Drosophila melanogaster: one gene and its partner. The gene in region 2 interacts genetically with the main gene of each other region. Each region holds a gene or a part of one and is shown on either strand. Other genes may lie near its edges.

Region 1 (10,987 bases), on a different chromosome or scaffold from region 2:
TAAGGCTTAGGTAAATATAATAAAGGTTAAACAAGCTGACGTGCTTTTTTTTCGTTTCTTTATTTCGTTTAAGTTGAATCATAGGTTTGTTTCGTCATTCATAGAAGATACGATAGGAATAAGTCCACCCGTTTTTCCAGCTCAACCAACGGATCGGACAACTGCTCCAATAAAAACATCTTGGTTAAGCTGCCATATTCATTGCTTGACTGCGTTGAGTTGCCTAAAGATTTCCTGTGTACTGCTGTTAAGATCATAATGCTGGGTACTGCCATGATAGGATTGCGTAGATCACCTCAGTTGGTCATCCAGATTTTTATAGTAATAGACCCGCAATCCGACCATTCGTCATTAATCGATGTGAGTCTGCGTGGTGGAGGAACTCCAGATGGAGTTCTTCTGGGCGTCAAAGGGTTCATAGAAGGTTCCTTTGGTTTGGTTGAAGTGGCTTTGCTGTGATATCTTATTGTAAGTTCTTGGAAGTTGGACTTAAAATCCCAGTACTGTCTGCTGGTTCCTTGAAATTCGATTTTTTTTGGGTATTTTGTACTGCTTGGGTTAAATTCGTTTTTGATGTTGGAATGCATTTTTCACTTTTACTTCTTTTAGGCGGTGGGTGTTTACCCATCATAGGCAAGGACTTTGGACTGAAATTCAAGATGTTTTTCAAGTGGCTCGGTCCATAAGGGGAAACTCCTTTGTTGGCTATGTGCGCTAATGATATCAAAACTGGACTCTTTGGTTCCGTCACTTCGGAGTAGAGATCAGATATACTTCTCACCATAAAGGGAACTGTTTTCTTCTTGTACTTTCCGTATAAATTATTGATTTCCAGCTCGCTAAGGGCGCTCAGGAGCTTTGGAATGGACACAACATCGCTGTCTCCAAAGAGATCTCTTAACAATCGTACCAGTTCGTCTTGCTCTCCCAATAGGAGCAATACATCTCCAAAGTCCTCGCCGTTGCCACACCACTTGTACTTGCGATTCAGCGCTCTCAGCCGAAGGATGTAGTCCTGCATCATGTGGAGTAGCTTTCCCAGAGTTTCGGGAGCCATGGGATCGGAGAGGTAACCATTGCTATCGAAATGTGCGCTGGCGGAGAACAAATCCTGATCGGGAAACCCACTTAGTGGCACCTTGTATCTCCTTCGTTTTCTGGATATCATCATCACTTTTCTATAGTTGGCATACAACAGGCGAAGCAAAATATAATGAGCTGCCTCTGGAGATCGACATAATCTTTTTGCCAAGGCAAATATGACCCGTCGATTGAGGTCCAGCCAGCGCGGTGGCAAGGTGTCGCAGGGATCGGGGGTTGGCTCCCGATCCGGACCTCTTATGAAAGGATTCTCGGCGAGGGGCCGACTGCCCAGTGGACAGCAGCTGGAGATGGTGCGCACCGGGCAGTGTGGACAGCTGTAGGGAATCGGTGGACATGGTGTCCGGCGGAGGCGACAGCAGTGGATGCACATCGATCGAGGTGGCCAGAAGTAGAATTGAAACACTGTAAACAAGCCAGCTTGGACCGACTTTCAATTTGGAATTTTCAAAAATGATGCTGATTGGGGTCCAAATAAACGACCTTCTTTCGAAACCTAAGCCGCAAGGAGGCACAAACATTTTGAAATGGTCGGTTTCTATGAGACATAAAGGGCACTGCTAGAAGTTTACTCTATAAATATCTTGGTTTTTCTTATAAAAAAGAAATTAAATTTTTCTTAGGCTAGCTTTAATGTTTATTGCTATGCAAGGTTATCTGGCGCATAGCATTGTCTGAATTGGAACTCGAATTTAGAATGTATTGCACTCGTTCATTATAATCTTGAAGCAATGACTATTAATTCAAAGGTTCTAGGTATAGCTCTTCCTCGCATGGCACTTGCTCCACTTTACTAAATTGTAAAAGGTAAGAAAGTAACGTATACAATTGTCTTTTTAAAGATTACTTACCTGTTTAGACCGTCACATGACTTTAATTTTGACTCGGTTGCAGCTTGCAGTTGTTTCAGCCTTTCTGGAACATCGTTAGTGGCCAAAATCATGCCACCAAGTCTGTGTTTAAGGGCGGAAAATGTTGGCCTGTGTGATGGCACGGAGCTCCAGCAGCTTTCCATCAGGGAAAACCTGAGTTAAGCAAATGTGATCAACAATTATGTACTTCGCTAAGCACTGATACCCACATTTCTTGCGTACATCCCTCCGGTCGCTTCATCCGATGACCTTGTCGCAGTAGCTGCAAGAGATCACTGGGAGACACCGACGGATATGGCATTCCACCGAGAGTGGTGATCTCATAGAGCAGCACACCAAAGGACCAACTAAGAGGGTAAGATATCAGCCACAAAATCGCTTCGGACTTAACAAAAATATATACTTACACATCGCTCTGACTGGTGTACACCTGGTGGGTGAGGGACTCCAGCGCGAGCCACTTGATGGGCAGCTTGCCACTTCCTCCGGACTTTCGGTACACGTTCTCATGATACACATCTCGACTCAGCCTTAAAAAAAAAAACACAATATAACTAATCATTGAACTTTCAGAGATACCCACCCAAAATCTGCTATCTTGATGCTGCGATCTACGGAGATTAGAACATTCCGGGCAGCCAGATCCCTATGCACTACTTTGTTTTGGGCCAGAAATTCCTAAAATGGCAAATGATACATGCTACACTTTTTAATTACATTTAGGGATAGAGTAGATGTAGGCTACCATTCCCACCGCCACCTGTTGGGCGATGTCTAGCAAATCTGCATATTTCAGTGGTATTCGGGGCTTGGTATCCGATGAGTCGAGGCAATCAAAGTATTCCTTGTTCTCAAAGATTCGCTTCTTGTTGTCCGATTTGAAATCCTGCTTCGAGTCTTTCTTGGGCTGCGGCTTCAGCTTCCGTTTTGGCCGATCCTTTGGAGCTTCAGCGGTTTTGGGAATGTAACTCCCACCGATGTTTTCAATGTCCTCCAGGCCATAGCCCTTGTTGTCGGCTGCATTGGTTATTCGAGTGAGGGTGTAGGTCTCACATCGACTTGAGTGTGTCTGATCCGATTCACTCTCCTCTTCCACAGTGGACAGCATCGAGTTGTTGATATCCTCTATGCGATCATGGATGGAATTTCTAGGGAGTCGGTTAAACCGTCGGTTGTCCACGTTCTGTTCAAGGTTCTTCTTAAGTCCAATTGCATTTTGCTCCTGCCTGAACTTCCACTCCTCACTAAGTAATACATTTTTTACTATACATCACTTGTTTTCCAATATGTATAAAAATAACTTACCGTAAAAAGTTCTGCAGGCTTCCAAGGCTGCAGTATTCAATTAGCAACATCATCTGGTTGCTAAAACGAGTGGAGTATCCCACGATACCCACAATATTTGGATGCTTGCCCACGGCCTTGAGCATCTGAATTTCGCACTTGAACGCATATACGTCCTCGTCGTTTGGTTCATCTGTGAGAACAAAAATTCCATGAATTATTCAAGAACTTCAATACCAAATGGTACAACCTTTCAGCAACTTGACGGCCACTTGGCGTTTCTTGTAAACTCCACGTCGCACCAAGCCAAAGGCTCCTTCGCCGAGGACATCCTGAAGGAGCACCGAGTGTGGCTCCACCTCCAGCTCGTCCATTACTTCCAGACTCTCGTTGGCCGAGAGGGTGACCAGCAGGCCACTGCTGTCCATCAGGGAGAGATGAAATTCACTGGCCTTCGCGTCCTTAGCGTCCATTTGCAGCGCCTGAACCTCCGAACGATTTCGTCTGCAGAACGTCAGGGAGCACAGCATCAAAATGCAGCATATGGGCACGATAATAAAGAGTACCAACTTGACCATGTTGCCCTCTGTTCAATGGATGGAAATGGATGTCTAAATATTTAATTTCCTTCAGCGTACGTACCGCTCAGCAACACACCTCGATGAACCTTGTCCAACGTCAAACCGGATACGTTTTTTCCGCCTGCCGACTGGGCCACCAAATGTACTTCGAAATGGGAACCCAGTACCGTGATCTTGGGTACATAGAAGTGGCTCCTGTTTTGGTCAAGTGTATAGTTTAGCTCCGTACCTCCTTTGAATAGATCAAAGATGTGAAGTGTATAGTTATCCGGCAGGTATCTGGGACGCGCCCAGGTGATGTTCAGGGCCAAAATATTTGGCAGATACTGCTTCTGGGTCACAGTAAGATTCTCTGGCTTATGGGGTGCTATGAAAGGGTGGAACAATATTATTATTATTAATATTATTATTATATAGGACTTTCGAGGAACCTACGGCAGAGTGTGTAGTTATAGGGATACCAATCCAAGCAGCTTGGAACAGCGATTGGCAGCCACTGCAGATCGCTCTCCAGTCGATTCATTATGTTCACCGTTCTTACGCCAACGTGATACTGTTTGTCAAACTCCAAGTTGTCCACCGTGTGCCTGTACAGCTTTTTGCGCTGCAGTAAAAGATTAGCTATGCTCTAGCATTGCAGGGGCGTCATGGCATACTCACATCCCGGAACTGCACCTCCAGTGGCTCGTCCATATTCACGCTGTTGGTTGAATACGACACCATGTCGAAATAGCAGTTGCTCTCTGGAATATGAAAGTAGGGTTCGTAGATCGTTGATTGATTAAACTGATGGAGCTACTTACCCGCCGATGGCTTCCACTCGATTTCGGCAGCAATGTGATGCAGGTCGTCTGGTTGGGGGACAAACCGCAGCAGATTCACCGCTCCCATTTTGCTGGGCTGATAGCCTCGGATGAGGGTGGCGAAGGTCTGGTCCTTTGCTATCAAGGAGTAGCTGCCATCTCCGTGCATCGCCAGGGCGGTGATGTTGTGGGTAGAGTTGGACTCCAATCCCGGCAGGATGAGAAAGTTGTCATCAGACTGCAAGCGAATAAGTCGATGAAAAAGAGCGATCCACTTGTAAAACGAAACATTAGGTCTTGATGACTACATAGTACATCTTTTTCTAGAAATTCATCAAATAAAATGGTATTTTAAAGTAAATAGTAATGAGTTTACATCTAATATCTGACCAGGTAAAGCGCAGTTTCTTTGTTGTCGTCCTTGACAGCATCCACCCGGATTATGTAGGTGGCATTTGGAGCCGGCTCGGTTCCCCTGCTGTGCTGCACCCAATCTATTTGGAAAACGATTTCCGACTCCGTGCGGCAGATCATGTTCATCTGGTAGTTTTCCTGCACCTTGCGCAGAGCCCCGGGAAATGTTCCATTAATCCTGCAGTCCTTTAAACAGCTTCGGAAATCCTGTCGAGAAAAGAAGCATGCACTTTTGGTTATGGAGTGTTCCAACATTCTAAGGGTGTAAACATACCATCTGGCCCTTTTCCAGACAATTCTGGGTGCAAGCGGTGACGTTGAGAAGCGTCTTATCGTGAGAGATTTTGTCCATTAGCAACATTTCACCTTGATTGCTTCCCACGAAAAACCAGAAGATAAATGCGTACTTCGCGTAGAAAATAAGCATTTTCCTTGTTCTGCTTTTGAAACCCTTCTTTAGTTCTTCGTTGTGTGTCGGTGTGTGTGTGTTGGAATGAAATGTGTATTTGTTTAAAACCGACTTAAAGTTTATTGCACTTTTGCCACCACGCACTTTGATACAAAACTCAATAACACACACAGCAAATTCGAATACTTAGTTTCTAGATTCCAACTTTCGAGATCAATACCATCCGTCCTTCTCGGATTATCTTGCTGAACTGAGAAAGAACTGAGAAACTGAGGCCAAAAATGCGATGGTAAAAAAGCGACGAAGAAGGAGGAATGATGAGAAGCGGCGGACTCGTTGAATATATTTTGCGCTATTTTGTTTTGATTTGTTTTTCACCTCTTCACTGCATCGTATTGTACTTGATCGTATGGATGGGATTGGACTAGGGGTCATTTGAAATGCAAAAATTTGGATCGCTACTCCGTCATAGTAGCGCCAGGGCTTGGGATAAGCATAGAACATTGACTTCAGATAACTCTTCGCAATTTTCATTTGTGATACCACCAACAACGTTTGTATTTCAATCTTCTATGATCTGTTGCGCCAAAAGAGCTTGTATTGCAGCAAACCGATAAATCAGAATGCAGTGCTGGTCGCTTCCATCCCTAGAAACCATGTTGGGCGCCAATATTCGAAATTAACCAAAAAACAACTATGCTAATTTCGCCCACATTGTAGCTTTTGCGTGATCACACTTTCCCTGATTCCATTTCAATTGGAACAGAGCTGACAATACAGGTATTTCCTTATAGCGACTTGCAAATGCACATGACCTCAGTTGCCTCTGATTCAGGTTATTCGTATAGAACGCTCGATTACATTGGTGACTCAATTGTTGCATCGCATTCGAGTACTCGAAACACTCACATGGGAAACTCGAGCATTCAGTGCCACTCGCAAGTTTAGTTAAATGTTGTACGCTCGCATCGTCGGTTCTGCTGCTCAAACGCGATAACGATCCATTACGTGTGTAAACATTAATAATAAATTTCTATGGGAGCGTCTAGTTTATTAAAGCTCTACAAGTTTAAAATAATTAGCCTGTGATACTAGGCCAAAGCGGATCGGATCAAAAGCAATACGAGTAACTCCCAGTTAGTTTTATCACCATTCAATTAAAGTGAGGAGGTTGTCGTGCAACAGCAGTTTCGTTCTCTTTCTAAAGGCATTCAAACCAGTTGCAATTGAAATTTCAAAACAATAATTATATATATGTGATCACAAGTATCGGACAAACGTTAAAGCCGGCTGTTGTTGGCAATGATAAGATCATATCATATAATATCATATCGGCATTCTAGCCAGACGTCCATATAGAGCAAGTCATTATCTTGATTGCTCGAATTTTTAAACACCCCAAGCGAATAGCCATTAAATCGAAGGTATTTTTTTAACAACTCTAACCAATAGCCACGCACTCGCGCCACCGACGGATACTGATAAGGATAAGAAATGGTAACTAAACATTGAACATTTCCATTTTTCAGTCGCCGGAGGACCGTGCTACCAAGTAGTTCAACTTTCCGAGTTCGAGAGCTCTGACATCATGAAAATCGAGTGGGCTCCCAAAGGAGTTCCCATGGAACGGCGTCGCCAGACGTTTGCCATGGCCTTCCTAATCCTATCCTTTATGATACTCTCCTTTGGATCCTATTTCTTCGTTGCTGCCGTGCTGGTAAATACATCAGTGCTTCAATATTTTGAAAAGTAAAGCATTCCCTTCCAGTTCTATGGAAGCCTTTTGTGGCGCACCATTATGGTCATCTATTTGGTCTACGTCTACGCGAATCACAAGAGAACCCACTCCATTATGGATGGCAATGGGTAGGCGTCATGAAGTCCCTATAAGAACACTTAAAGCTAAAATAATCCATTTTAGCTGGAAAATTAACCGCAACAATTGGCTGTTTCGGCATTATCGGGACTACTTTCCCGTACAGCTGGTCAAGACCGCAGAGCTGCCGCCGAATAAGAACTACATTTTGGCCAGTTTTCCGCACGGAATTTTGGGGTAAGCTTGTTGACTGATAGTCAATCTTATCGATGGTTGCTTAGGTGACGAAACATTTGTATACCTTCTTACGCACATATTGTAACCCTGATAGGACTGGCATTTCCATTAATATGGGTCTAGACATCTCCAAGTGGCTGCAACTGTTCCCACAGGTGAGGCCCAAGGTGGCCACTTTGGATCAAAACTTCCTGACGCCCATCGTGCGTGGTCTCCTGAGATCTTGGGGCCTGGTGTCGGTTTCCAAGGAGGCCTTAGTATATCTGCTAACCAAATCAAACGATCCCAAGCACAAGGACAATCGTGATGGGTTCACCTCCAACGCGGTGGCTATTCTGGTGGGTGGTGCCCAGGAGGCACTAGACTCGCACCCTGGCAAATATATATTGACACTGAAGAACCGCAAGGGATTCGTTAAAATGGCCATTAGGACAGGGTAGGTTGAAATCGGATACAACTAAAAGTTATTTTTAATTGTATCCGGTCTTCATTTTAGGTCTTCGATTGTTCCCACGTTTTCCTTTGGCGAGGTGGACATTCTGGATCAGGTTGCCAATCCACCGAACTCTCGGGTTCGTCGCTTTCAAGACTTTGTAAAGAGGATAACGGGGATATCTCCGCTGATTCCCGTTGGCCGGGGCATCTTCAACTACTCCTTTGGCTTTCTGCCCAACCGTCGACGCATTGTCCAAGTTGGTGAGTCCTCAGCTCATTCAAATGTCGCATAGTTGTAAGATTCAAATAAACTTTAAAAAATTTCAGTTGGCGCTCCCATCGACGTGGTTCAGAGCGATCAACCAGACGCAGCCTATGTGGATAAGATACACAAACAGGTTATTGACGACCTGGAGAAGATGTTCGCCAAGTACAAGGATCAGTACATACCGAACTCCAAGCAGGACAAGCTGATTATACACTAGTCGAGAAGTTATTGTCTAAACAATGTGATCAAATGAGTGCTTTATAAGCATTTAATATAAAAATTACGAATTTTATCAGGCAAATAAAATTGCCATACAAGCTTTTTAAAACGACGGGTAGTGATCGAAACTTTGAATAAGCAGCTATCGCTATTGATAGCAATTATTTATCGATAAGACGGCAAACAGTGTTGATCAACGATCAGTAGAAGTTGGCGTTCAATTTAAAATGAATAACTATGATTTATTAATTGATATATAGGGAAAAAACATAACAATGAGCGCAGAATATACCAAATGTAGTAATAACAGCATTATCATTTATTTCTAATAATCCCTGTTCAACCAGCTTTATTGATTTTTAAACTACAGCCTTCAATTAAAAAACAATTATTTCATCATACAAGCATACAACTTAATCCGTTGTATGTTTTTGTAATTTCGTTGTATGTAGTATAAAAGTAATACAGCTTATCACTTAACTGACTTATAAATCTTAAGAAATACGACCCACAGCATAAAATGCTTATTGAATCATAGTGCTCTTGAAAGTGGGTAATCTCCTAGGAATCGCCGCATACCTTTGCACCCAGACGGCGATTGCATGCCGAGTTTATAATCTTCATCACTCCAATCGCGAATTCCCATCAGCCCCACACAAAGTGCTACTGACTGGTTAGTTGGCTTGTGATTAGCAGGTAATGCGGGCGCCCTGCATGAAGCCGAGAGCCGATAAGGATAAGTATAAGTCTAGTACAGGGCAATTTGACCATCGCTGGCTTCCATATCATTCAGTCGTGGGAGAACCGCCGAAAGAGCAGCTGGTGGAGTTTTTTTGGGCATTTTTGTAACACAGCAGACATGAAAATCGAGTGGGCACCACTGCGGGTTCCTCTGGAACGCCGACTGCAGATACTGGTCACGGCCTTTTTCACCTCCATGCTGCTGATACTATTGTCAGTTTCCTTCCTTTTGGTAGCTGGATCACTGGTAAGACACTAACCATTTAGTCATATGCATAAGTATTACAGAACATGAGTTTCCCTTCAGATCTACGGAGGTCTTTTGGTGCGTAGTCTGATGGTAACTTACTTGGCCTACGTCTTTGTGCACCACAAGAAAACCCAATCCGTTGTGGATGGCAATGGGTAAGTCGAATACTAACGAAAGTCTCTGTAAGATTATATCGCTGTGTATATCGCTCAGCTGGATGATAACACGCACCAACCTTTTGCATCGCCACTATCGTGATTACTTTCCCGTGGAGCTGGTGAAAACAGCCGAACTGCCAGCTACTAAGAACTACATCTTGGCCAGCTTTCCCCACGGAATTCTGGGGTAAGCACCTTGACAGATAGCCAATCTAATCGTTCGAATATAAATAGACACTGATTTTTATTGTAGCACAGGCATTGGCATTAACATGGGCTTGGAAATCTCCAAGTGGCTGGAGCTATTCCCCCAAGTGCGTCCCAAACTGGGCACTCTGGATCAGCATTTCCATGTTCCGTTCATGCGTGAGGTCCTCCGCTGCTGGGGTCTGGTGTCAGTGTCCAAAGAGGCGCTGATCCGTATGCTCAGCAAGTCAAATGATCCCAAGCACAAGGATAATCGGGATGGTTTCACCTCCAATGCGGTGGCCATTCTGGTTGGCGGTGCCCAGGAAGCCATGGACTCTCATCCTGGGCAGTACATTTTAACCTTGAAGAATAGGAAAGGCTTCGTGCGAATGGCCATTAGAACGGGGTAAGTAATGGGTTCGAGTGTAATTTAAATTCCCATTTACATATATCCTGATTTCAGCTCATCGATTGTTCCTTCATTTTCCTTTGGAGAGGTGGACATTTTCGATCAGGTGGCAAATCCCCCCAACTCGCTGCTCCGACGGTTTCAGGACTTTGTCAAGAAGCTCACCGGAGTCTCTCCGCTGATTCCTGTGGGCCGCGGATTCTTCAACTACACCTTTGGCTTCCTCCCATTCCGACGACGCATTGTCCAAGTTGGTAAGTTATATTTTTATATACTTTACGCAAATAAGTGGTAATAATATTTTAATTCCCAGTTGGTGCTCCCATCGATGTTGTTAAGAACGAGCACCCAGACTCGGAGTATGTGGATAAAGTGCATGGACAGGTCATTGAGTCGCTGGAGAAGTTATTCGATCAGTACAAAGACAAGTACTTGGAGAATTCGAAGAGTGCCACTCTAGTTGTACACTAGTTTTAAATCATGTTGATACAAAATATTCCTATGTATTGAAATAGAAACGAGCTTTTTAATTGAATTTAAACTGGTTGTCTCATTACAAGTTGATTACACATTGCATTGCAAATAAAGAAATGTGCATACTCATAGTACTTACACTATAATTTCAGTTCAATGTAACAAAGTCTGCGTGAATCAGCACTTTTGTGAATGAAACAATCGGCTGATAAGGGCGACACAGATCTCTAGTAAAACTACGACAAAATCGACTAGATTCCTTATCGCAGAACACACTATTGGCGTACGCACAATGGAATGAGTGTTCTGACTGTTGCGAAGCACCGC
Region 2 (10,987 bases):
GTTTGTTGTGGGCTGTGTGCATGTAAAGCAGCGGATCTAAGAAAAATATAAGTCAGTTCAGCGTTCGCCGGGGGAAAACCCACAGTTCATAGTAATATGCATTTACAATTGAGTGCCAATTGTTATGGCATACATACATTCTTGACCAACGGATTGTGTTTGCCTATTTGTACGGACATGTGTAGATACTTTTGTATCTGTGCGCACGAGATACAGATTCTCAACAAGCTCTCGCCGGCCAGCTGCCCACTCAAAAGTTGACTTTTCGCTGCCGTCCGGGCAAACAAAAAGCGAATCACAAACAGCACAGAAATACGATGAGAAATGGCATGATAGACAGGGGAGGGGGGAGGAAGAAAGAGGAAACAGCCCAGTTGCACTTTTAGTCGTGTGATTAATATGCCGAGCTAGAAAAAATGCCGAATGGGCGCATTTTAGATAAGCATTTGGTTGGATGATGACTCATCGTCTTCGAGCACCAGGCAATCGTTACTCCACACACCGAGCCACTTTGTTTATCTTTCTATATGTGCGATGCGAAATTTTTTGGGATAAACAATCTGCAGATTCAGATGGAGAATAATCCCCGTAAGCAGTATGCACACACAATATCTGGCCTATTGCCACAGCGAAAATTCTGGAAAACGTGTTATCTGCAAAGTGGGCGTATAAATAAGATATAGCCGCAGATAGAAAAGATTCCCATTTTCATGCGAATTGAAAAGCTCCAAGGAATCCAAGTGCGGCAAGTGGAAAGTTTTATGGCAGCAGCCCGGCACTGATAAGACTGGTTGGAACTACGTATCATAAAAGGTAAGTTGGGACAGTGATACCTCGTTGCGCGGAATCAAACTTTTTGTATGGAGCATACGTTCTGCACAATAAAATAAAATGGGAATTCAAAATTCATTTGAAATATCAATAAAAATAGTTAATAATAAAATACAAAATATTGTGGGCGTAGAATTTGTATGTCCAATAGCAAAACCTTTTAGCTTTTAAAGTTCTAGCGATCTCGACGTTCATACATATGTTAGCAATAATACAATTTATTTAAATAAACCATAAAAGTGTTGGCATATAACTTTATAAAAATTCGCGTTCTTTGAGTTGGACACACCAATTTGAATATTAGTCATGCACTCTGTGGGGGGAAAATTTGTATGGGCATGACATCAAAGTTGGGATTGTTATGCCCGTAGAGCTTTGGTTGGGGTCACTACAATTTCCTCGGCCCTTAGTATGGCGTCCAAGCATTTCTGACCACTTCGAAAACCGACGATTGCAAACACCCAAGCGCGGGTGTGCTGCCTTTGTTGTTCCTGGCTGTTCTTTTCGCTTTTTGCTTTTTGCTTTCTGCTGCTTCGACATTTGTGCCAGCCAGCCGCGTTCATTTTATATTTTTCTTGTTCAATTTTTTATAAACAACGCACACACTTACGATTGCCCTGTGAGAAACGAGAGTCGTTTGTGGTATTTGTTTTTGTACTCATAAAAGTTTAATAAGCATGCCTCAGTGTTCTTTTCCTCGTGGTTGTGTGGGTGTACGCCGTACATCGACAATGGAAACCTCGCCGTTGCACCACCCCCAACCGAGCCCAAAGTGAGCCCCCCCACCACCACCACTTTGCCACACCAAGTATTATTTAAGTAATCATTTATCGTTGCTGCTCGCCTGACATTTTGCACGATGTTTGTCGGCTTTTGTTTCGTCTAACGAGAAACACCGGATCGATTGGGTTATATTGAGCTAAGTAATGTGTCGGCACACGGTTTCTTATCACCACATAATGCTCGTTCCGCGAACAGATCAATGTTTGTTGTCACACTTGCCCCGATGACCTCACTTATCTGTTCATAAATCCCACCGATCTTAAGCTCATAAAATATGTGCTCAAGTCTATTTGTCAAAAAATAAAGTAATTAAGGAATATTTGTCCAAACTGTCATCTGCAATACAAATACAATCATGGTTGGGTATCACTCAGTTATCAGTCTTGTGTTGGTGCTCAATGGTTCGAAAAGTGATTATTCGACTGAAGTCAGTCAGGTTATCAAACAATACAGCTACCAAACATTGTCTTTTATTGCTTAACTGTAAAGTCTTAGCAAAATTCCAATAAATGGGACTCCTTATCAGCGGAGTGCAACAAAAGATTCGCAGAAATGTATTAATCCTCTATTGAATCCATTTTTTACTGCTCTATATTACTTATTTGTTTTTCAAAAACTAATTAGCATTAGGGTCAATATTTCCATAACCAATGATTTGGGTTTTTCAAGTAATAAATAAATATGATCTTTAATTTTTTAATAATAAGTACAGCTTTGATTACGAGCTAGACAGATTTTCGGGTTTCAAACTTGATAATTGGGCATATTGACAAAAATATTTGTAAAATACGTTGTAGTAAGTTCCTCAAAGTAACTTCCTCAGAAACTATAGATTGAAGTTTTGATTCGCTAGTTCGGGGGCCATCTACTACCACCAGAAAAGCATTTTGCCAGCGATAAGCAGGCACAATATGTGTAAGTACAGTAGGCCCCCAATCTATTGAAGGCGCAGCAGAGTGCTCCATTTACGACAATGAAATGCAACGCAATAAACGACTTTGATAACGAGGTGTCAATGTAACAAAGTAAATAACGAGAGTCGCCGATAAGAAGCCGGCTTGATTTGCGCTTGAGGATAGTGATTCGCATAATAGCGCAATAATTAGCACTGCCTATATCGAAGATCCAGAAATAACTTTAAACACATGTGGTGGACTGGATTGGTGGCGATAAACTTTGCTGCATAAATACATATGTTCAAATCTGACGGGAGTGAGTTCCAACACGATATAGAAGAACTAATTGGGGAAACGAACTTTGAGCACCCTATAGTTTTAAGTATCGTGGCATTTAGAGTATATCTGTTCATTCGAATCTATATACAATATATTTTCAATATATAAAAGCCACATTACTACTTTATTTCAATTCAGGGTGAACTTTAAATGTAAAATATAGTTTCTCAGACCGTAAATACAATTCTGAATAAAGTACAATATTATATTGTATCTCCCTTTCATCTATAAAATTAATGATTTTAACCACTGTTAATAAATAATGGTAGTTATATAATGTATGCGTTTTATTAGTTGACATAAACGAAGAAACCCCTCTGCCAACTAACCTATGTAAGTTGACCGTCCACCTGGCCATTGATTGGAGGACCCACTATGACCAATGATAATCTACGGTGTCCACAGCAATGCGATCGGGTTTATCAAATGTGAAACGCCAAGGGGTTAGCTAACGTCGGCGTCGCTGACAATCGTAATTTGTCCGAAGTGGTAGAAGCCAGCCGGGTTATAGCCAGGCCAAGAAGTCATGGTGGAGAGAGGGGAAGCCCGCGACGGAGGAGGGGGCAGTAAGCGACCGACGACAGCGAGCAAGATAAAAGTGTTGAGCGCGCAGAAGTCGGCGACGTATGAAAGCAAGAGTAGCATGTGAATATGAGAATGATAGGGCCCCGTACGTCAGACACTTGAAAAAATAGTGCTAGAGTAACAGTTAAATATGTGTTGCCAAATGTTGTGATACCAGGTGTTGAATCGGGCCCCAACACATGGGATTAATTTACCAATGCCTTATACAAAAAATTGTATTATGTATTTATACAAAAAAGCTTAATTTTTTAAACAGAGGACATTAAATATATATAATTTTTAGTTTTATAGCCTCGCTTTCTCGCTGTGCAAGGGAGCGAGTGGGACGGTGAGATGGGGAACAGCTAATATACTCGATATCAGTGTTGTTGTTGCTGCCATTTGTGCTATTGCACTCGAAATTCTTGTTGCCTTTGTTTTTATGGGCTTTCCAGGAAACAACAATGAACGGGGAAGAAGAAGACCGGGAAACAGGAGCGTGAAGAACACATGTGCATGTGTGTGGGTATTTTGTTGATGTATAAATAAAGCGTCAAGTGGAAACACATGATGATGGTGCATCGAATTTGTGGCCAAAAGGCAGAGAACCTTCGTGAAGGCCTTGCGGAACCACCACACGCCCACCCACATTATTTGCGCAGTGCACATTTGCAGCGGAGTCCTCCCACCCACACACGCATTTATATACGTACCCCCCACCACTCGTAAATTTGTTGCTCTTTTTCTCCTATTTCTATTTACCTTTGGTACACAAACACCAACGCACAACACTGTGTAAACACACACGGCTGGCTGGTATCGGTTAGTTTGTATTGGTACGCCTGCCGCTGTTGCTCTTCGATATTTTTTATTATGTATTTGCCGTTTTATTTTTAAATCGCGCTGGCTTCACGCACACACAAACATTACACACACGACGCAGTGCGAGGGAGACGGAACGCACATGCACACCCGCACACGCACTGAGAATTTAGAAAAAAAAACTAGAGTCTCGACCAAAGGAAATCCTATCAGTTAAACGAATCCTTGAAAACAAAGTGCACTTGCAAAAGAATTCAACTGGTTGCGCATTTGAAAATTGCTCCGCATTCGAACAATTCCCTATAGTGGCTAAAAAACGACTGCCGCGTCTCTAGAGTTGGAGCGAAAGCGATCCACATGCGATACTATCGGACGATGAACACATGTGAACAATCGCTGTTAACAGTGGGTATCGATTCTGATAAATCTCTGCCAAACCGGGAAGATAGGAAATTCTAATTAGAAAATAAGTTGATTTAATTTTATAGAGCAGCGCAGTAAAATATTGTTAACAACCAGGGACCAAAGCTCGATAACTATGGTAAAACAAAATTTTTGAATTGTTATTACTTATAAATTTTTGACTTGGAATGCACATAATTAAACAAATAGCATTTAGGATTTTTCGTAAAGATGTTCTAAAAGAAACATTAAGACTAAACAAGTTACGAAATATATATCTCTATCGTGCTAATATTCCACTAAACTTTGTGAGTTAATTAAAGAAAAATAAGTTGATTGAAGTTATTATTTAGAAGTAAAATGAATTTGATGGTGGAAAACTCTGATAACCCGAAGTGCAACCCTCGCACCCCTGTTAAGTTAACAGCACTGTCGGCTGCTAAAGAATAAACAATTTGCGAAGCTAATTGCGATAAACAAACATTTATCAAAGGGGGTTTACACCCATTTTCGCATCATTGTGGCGCCGCAGATATGAGTGCGCATGTTGTCTGTACACACACGAGCTGCCACCCACACATATGCACCGCTGGCGGTGTAATTAATTGCATTTGATTGATTTGTCCACCGAAAGTCAAGGTTACCCCAGACGCAGAGAAGCACAATTAATGGTCTTTTGCCAACTCTTGTGTATTCTGCATATAAACATACGCGACTTCTGAATTTTCACCTGTTGTGCGCAGCAACAAGCGAGCATGAGAATGCCACCCCCGACCCTCTTTAAATGAAGAGGGTTGGTGCTCGGAGAGGGGTTTTTTTAAGGCTGTGCCCCGTCTAATCAATAGGCCTTAAATAATTAATCCATTCCACAATCGGCGCAGCACAGCAAATCACTCACCTTTCAGATTGCCTTTTTGGTTATGGCAGGTGTTGGGGGAAAAACGCTTTTTATCCTTAAAACAACACCGCCTGCAGCTCACGGCTGTTGGGCCACCTAATTCCAGGGCAAATAGTCTTAATTATCACTTTTAAAACGCACTAAATTTACGTTGTTTTCGTTTTGCGAGCACTCGAATTTTTGCGAACGCGACTACCAGCATATTTCGATATACAGCACCCCCGCAAAAGATGTTATCGCGTAATCGCCGGAGGTGCCACCTGTCACAACCGATGGCGCGCGTTTTAAAAACGATTGAGATAATCGATCAGTTAAACAATTTTGTAAATTTTAATAATAAAAACACACTAACATACAAGAATTACATAGTATATGCTGGTGTGAACACCCTCAAATTCATGACTATTTTAACAGTCGCAGCGCCTTGACATTGAGTTGGCAATACACAATATACAAAATGTTCGGGTAAATCGTAATCATTAATCTAGGAGTGTTATTGTCAAAGCAACACCATTGAATACGAGGTCCTGGGGAGCAGTATGTGCCAGGCGAGTCATTATTCAGACAGTTTATTGGCTGATATACTTTCGGCTTACGGCGATAATAAATCAATTACGGTTAATAACAAAGTTAAGCGCTTTCGGGTGTCTTCACTTCATCGCTTCTCTCCCTCACAACTAACAGCTAAAAAATATCTAACAATTAGAGCATGTCGGTGCTTCACTTCTATTTCCTCAGCTCATCCATCGATCGCGAGACTTAAGATCAAAGCAGTGCGTTTTTGGTGTGGTGTTTATGGGTGACGAGTGGCAGGGGCAGGGAGCTGGGCTATTTCTCAACCCGTCTCAAGTTGGCCAGCTCCGTGAGCCACGCCTTGATCAGATCGTAGGTGGAGAAGCTGATGCCCACGGCGATGGGTCCCTTGATCCAGTTCATGCTAAGTCCCTTGTAGAAACCGTTCTTGACGCCCTCCTCACTGTTTGGAAATCGTAATTAAAATCGCAATTAAAATATGAATAAAATCGTTGACAAAGATTTGCACGCACCGATAGATCTTGACGAGAGTCTCCAGGATGGTTGGGTACCGATCTCCGCCAGCCGTGTTCACCCGCATTGTCTGCATTCTTCGCCGCACAATGTCCAATGGATAGCTGGCCGTTTGCCCGGCGGCACCAGCCGCAGCACCGAAGGCCAGCGAGACTAGAGTATTGGGTTTATTGTTGCCGACCACTTCTGCAAGCAAACAAGTCATTTAGTTGGCAAATTCAGTGAGCACTTAATTAGAATATAGGTAACTTCTACTAGCATAATCAAAATAATGACAATGACCCAGAATGCCGGTTTAAATTGAAATTATCTGTATAATTCCACAATAAACTTGGGGCTTAAAACCGAATTCTATGGACATATACAATATACAAGAATTTTTAAATGAACATCTCCCCTAAGTCTATAGAATTTTATATTAGGATATAGGTAGTATTCCTACCATAGTATTCCCGCTTAAGAGTCTCGTAGGTGAAGAAGGAGGTGCCCGCATAGGGAATCACGCCGAGAACGGTCGCCCAGTAGCCGCGGAACAGCGTCCGCGGACCCTCCTCCACCCAGATCTTGGTGAAGACTTGTCGCAGCGTCCGATAGCCAGTATACCGATCCGTGACGGCCATGCGGGCGCGTGCCAGGTCCAGAGGATACGTCAGCGACTGTGAGGTGATTCCCGCCAGGGAGCCAGCCAAAAACCGACGACCTTTCGTGCTGCAAAATAGAATGATTCGCCATGAAGTTGGTGAGAATCTAGAGCATAGTACAACTCACTTGGTGCCGTCCTTGTCGACGTGCAGGATGCGACGCCACTGCTCGTGGGCCGTGAACTGTATGGCTGCGTAGGGCACGATTCTGGCCATCGTGGCCGAGTTCCCCCGCCACAGGGCCAAAACGCCCTCGTTGGCATAGGTGTTTTGCAGGTAGCGCAGCGAGGCTCGAAACGAGAAGGGCACATCGTTGCGGATCTGGAAGTTGATCTTTGTGCGGTCCAGCGGGGCGATGACCGTCTTGGCCAGCGCCCCCGCCGCTGCTCCGGATATCAGGCTGATCACCACCTGGTCGATTTTCTGGCGCACTGAAATAGTAAATGGTAGAAAATGAATAGAAAATCTCAATATGCATTCATACCCGAATGCGCGACTATGGATAAATAAACGGAGGGACATAGGAAACTTTGACACTCCACTACGCTCTATAATTTAGTTCGGTTTGAAGTCAAATACTCGACATTTTACTGTCGACAAACACAAAAATTCAAGAGTTTTCATTGTGTCGCCAATGTAATTTAGCGTTTCCCTAATTTTTGTTTGGACATGTTTGGCATTCAAGTGGAATCGAAGTGCCTACTATAAAATGAGTCCTGGATTTAAGCTCATAGTTAAATAGGTCCATTTTATAATGCTTAGTAGTTACTAGGAATTGGAAATCACATTGCGAGAAAGTTCATTGAATTTGATTTTTGTACATGTTAATTAAGATTGTAGCTTTATTTACTGCCTTCAAGTATCAAAATGTTTGAAATCCTTGGCTATGCGTCTGGAAAACAAATCTCTCGTGAATTGTCTTTTGCGCCTTACTTACTGGGTGTGACTGTAGTGGCGGGTACGAGGACTACTCCAGATGTTTCCGATGGACTCAGCTGGGTGCGGGATGTGTCCGCATCGTCCAGGTCCGAGGACAGCGTCGCCGAGGCTGTCGTCATCGTGCTCGAGAGCTGACTACCCGTGGACTTGATGGACATGGCGATGTTGGGCTTCTCCAGGAGTCGGCTCATCGCAGACTCGGACTGGGGGACCTGAAATCAATTTGCATATCAATCTGAGCCGGCTATATTGGACCACCAAAAAAGCGCAGGCTTATCGACACCACTGATAAGAGCTCAATATGGCCAAAACTAATCTAAACCAGCCGAAAATTGCTTTGCTTTCATAAGACTTCCCAGCAGAGACACATATAGCAAACTGAGTGGGCGCTGCTGTACAGCTGAGGTCAACATAATAGCACAACTAACTTATATATTAATATTTTGAGAATGAAGCTTCTAAAATCCAACTAACAGGTTAGGTTTAAACTGAAAGCATTTCTATTGTACCATGAATTATTGGTAAATGATTTTATTTTAATCTAGAATTCTTCTAAGCACAGTAGCTAATAGTTTAGGTGCAACTTTATGACAAGTGTTTGGATTTCTTATCAGCCAACGAACGACAAAAACACAGCTTTGGATTTCGCTGATAATTGATATGTGTGACCAATAATGAAAAACAATAGTACTGCTCTTATTATTGTATTGATTGTGAAGAGTAAATAAATTGGGTGCTACTCTTGCACAGACAGGTGTATTTATGGAGCCCAGGAAAATATTATGTGCGCCTGTTGATAGCGAAAACACACATTTCGCAAGTTCATGCAAATAATATTCAATTGCTCTCGCAATTGTTTCGTAATTGTTAGAAGCACGTTCCCTTGGCATAGGTTCAAAAATAGGCACTCGGATGGCTTTTAGCGTCCAACCAACCCATAATATTGACCAATATTCAGCTATCTGGCCAAGTACCATTGGCTCCCGGCAATTGAACTTTGCTTTGGGCCCCAAGTCGAGTCATTCTCGAGCCAACTACTCGGGTTCTCAGCCGGAATTGATAAGGCTTTGGCCAGCTGCTAATTGGGTCTCACATTAGATAGAAGTGGAGTGTTCCAGAAGAGATCGGAACGGATCGATGTACCCGCTCTCGCCTCTCTCGCACTCCAAAGAGCAAACAAGCCCGCAAACCGGTTGGTTTCGTTTGCTCATTATGGAAGGCAAAAGGCACCGAATTATCAGTTGATATATGTACATATGTACATAAGTAAGTGCCCAGTGTATATATATGTACATACATATATATGTACCTGTTTATGTGTGGCACACACCTCCAAAACAATTATCATGCCGAAATATTAAAATGTGAGCTCAGCTCGCCCGAATGTGCGGAATATGACAGCACGTGTGTTTTGATTACCGATTTTTTTGGGGGGTTGGGCACTTTTCCAAGTTCAACAGCTGAGCGCGGCTAAAATTAAACGCTTTTCATTGAGCAGCCGGTGCGGGAAATCTTTGGGAGCAAAAACCGAGAGCGTTCATCAATGCGATTGCAAATGAGTGGAAAAGTGCAACCTTGAACGTGAGCATCTGAGCTGTACAGTGGATACTGGTTAAGGATGGCAGTAAGCATATTTTACTATTTTTAAATTATATAGAAGTGAGTCGACTAACTACTACTAAGCAACTACTAAGATTAAGGAAATTAACTAAATTATATTGATTTTATAGGCTGATACGTTTCAAATGCAACCTTCTGGTACAAGTAATCACTGTACCTAGCGATTTCAGCTCTTCTATCTTGAAAAGTTGGGCCAAAAGTAGTTTAGCAAATATTCCGCGCCTTTGCTTGCGGCTTAAGTGTGATTTTAGCACAGCCTCTTGATATGTGCCCCCTCCATAAACAAATTTTTTGATAAGGAATTCGAGCGATGAACGACACTTTTCGACCACTGTGCACTGGGATGCTGTTGTTGCCGGCGCTTGATAAACGTAAACAAGCTCGTTAGGCGGTGTTTGTGCACTTTTTTCTCTGCTATTGCACTCAGTCAAGGTTGTGGCTTACTACGGATCCAGTTTATCCAGCAAGTGTTTTCCACTTTGCTTCTGGCTATGAAATTTGTTTGCTATAAATAGCCCGTTGGAGGGGGGGGGGGGGTCGATGCGGGATGTAGATAGTAAAGCAGCTACAACATCATTCCAACTGGACTTTGTACCCCCTTGGAGGAAAATAACAAAAACCAAATGGGGCAATGGAAATTTATGCAAATTACTCGGAAAGTGCACTTTCACATGCGCGATTTTCTAGCCAATTTATTTCCTTGAACAATAATTCGGAATACTTTTGTTTGTTGTTTACAAAACTGGATTTGATTTATAAGAATCATACGTGACTTAATTCTGATTGGACTGAGTGCGCCTAGGGGAATGAAAAACAGCTGTTGCTTGTAAGTGTTGTTGTTTGTTTCTCTTAAATTTAAGTACTTTGCGATAAAGGCCACTGTGCACCAACTGTTTGGCAATCCATTTATTCGCTCTTGTTTACACCGATTAAACGCTTGCAACATCCCAAAAAGACCACTCACACACGGACACCTTATATAATTGGGCAAAACGAGAACAACAAATTATTTTGAACACACACACGTATACATATGCGTACATATGTACGATTTCATGTGTGTTTGGCCCTACACGCACCTTTGTTTTTGTTAGCACAGATTCTTTTTTTTCGGCCTCCCTTTTCGCTCCTTCGGCCTTGGCAACAATAACAACAACACACAGCAGTGGTAGGCGTTTCGCACTGATTTTCGATTCCAAAAACAC

Evidence for each region. Genes that interact genetically often act in the same process or in processes that back each other up.
Region 1: of Stat92E (region 2) and tor, changing one suppresses a phenotype caused by changing the other (phenotypic suppression), as found in Drosophila melanogaster (2 studies listed by BioGRID).

Annotation. Positions count from the first base shown.
Region 1 is NT_033778.4:7,703,464-7,714,450, forward strand, and holds tor (torso), read right to left. Parts: upstream 5,722-10,987; 5' UTR 5,483-5,721; coding exon 5,330-5,482; intron 5,263-5,329; coding exon 5,032-5,262; intron 4,880-5,031; coding exon 4,642-4,879; intron 4,582-4,641; coding exon 4,499-4,581; intron 4,443-4,498; coding exon 4,274-4,442; intron 4,206-4,273; coding exon 3,900-4,205; intron 3,844-3,899; coding exon 3,508-3,843; intron 3,451-3,507; coding exon 3,279-3,450; intron 3,218-3,278; coding exon 2,719-3,217; intron 2,652-2,718; coding exon 2,557-2,651; intron 2,504-2,556; coding exon 2,381-2,503; intron 2,321-2,380; coding exon 2,183-2,320; intron 2,127-2,182; coding exon 1,953-2,126; intron 1,895-1,952; coding exon 1,840-1,894; 3' UTR 1,720-1,839; downstream 1-1,719. Other genes in the region: CG34216 (uncharacterized protein), read right to left, coding at 464-1,474; CG1941 (uncharacterized protein), read left to right, coding at 7,053-7,181, 7,233-7,330, 7,386-7,517, 7,612-7,953, 8,014-8,213, 8,280-8,437; Dgat2 (diacylglycerol O-acyltransferase 2), read left to right, coding at 9,299-9,427, 9,488-9,585, 9,644-9,775, 9,842-10,183, 10,241-10,440, 10,500-10,657. UniProt on the Drosophila melanogaster protein: Probable receptor tyrosine kinase which is required for determination of anterior and posterior terminal structures in the embryo.
Region 2 is NT_033777.3:20,546,546-20,557,532, forward strand, and holds the start of Stat92E (Signal-transducer and activator of transcription protein at 92E), read right to left. Parts: upstream 4,563-10,987; 5' UTR 4,176-4,562; intron 1-4,175. Other genes in the region: DPCoAC (dephosphocoenzyme A carrier), read right to left, coding at 6,364-6,511, 6,582-6,768, 7,025-7,290, 7,351-7,654, 8,161-8,353; att-ORFB (uncharacterized protein), read right to left, coding at 7,039-7,290, 7,351-7,654, 7,708-7,745. UniProt on the Drosophila melanogaster protein: Might play a role in signal transduction and activation of transcription.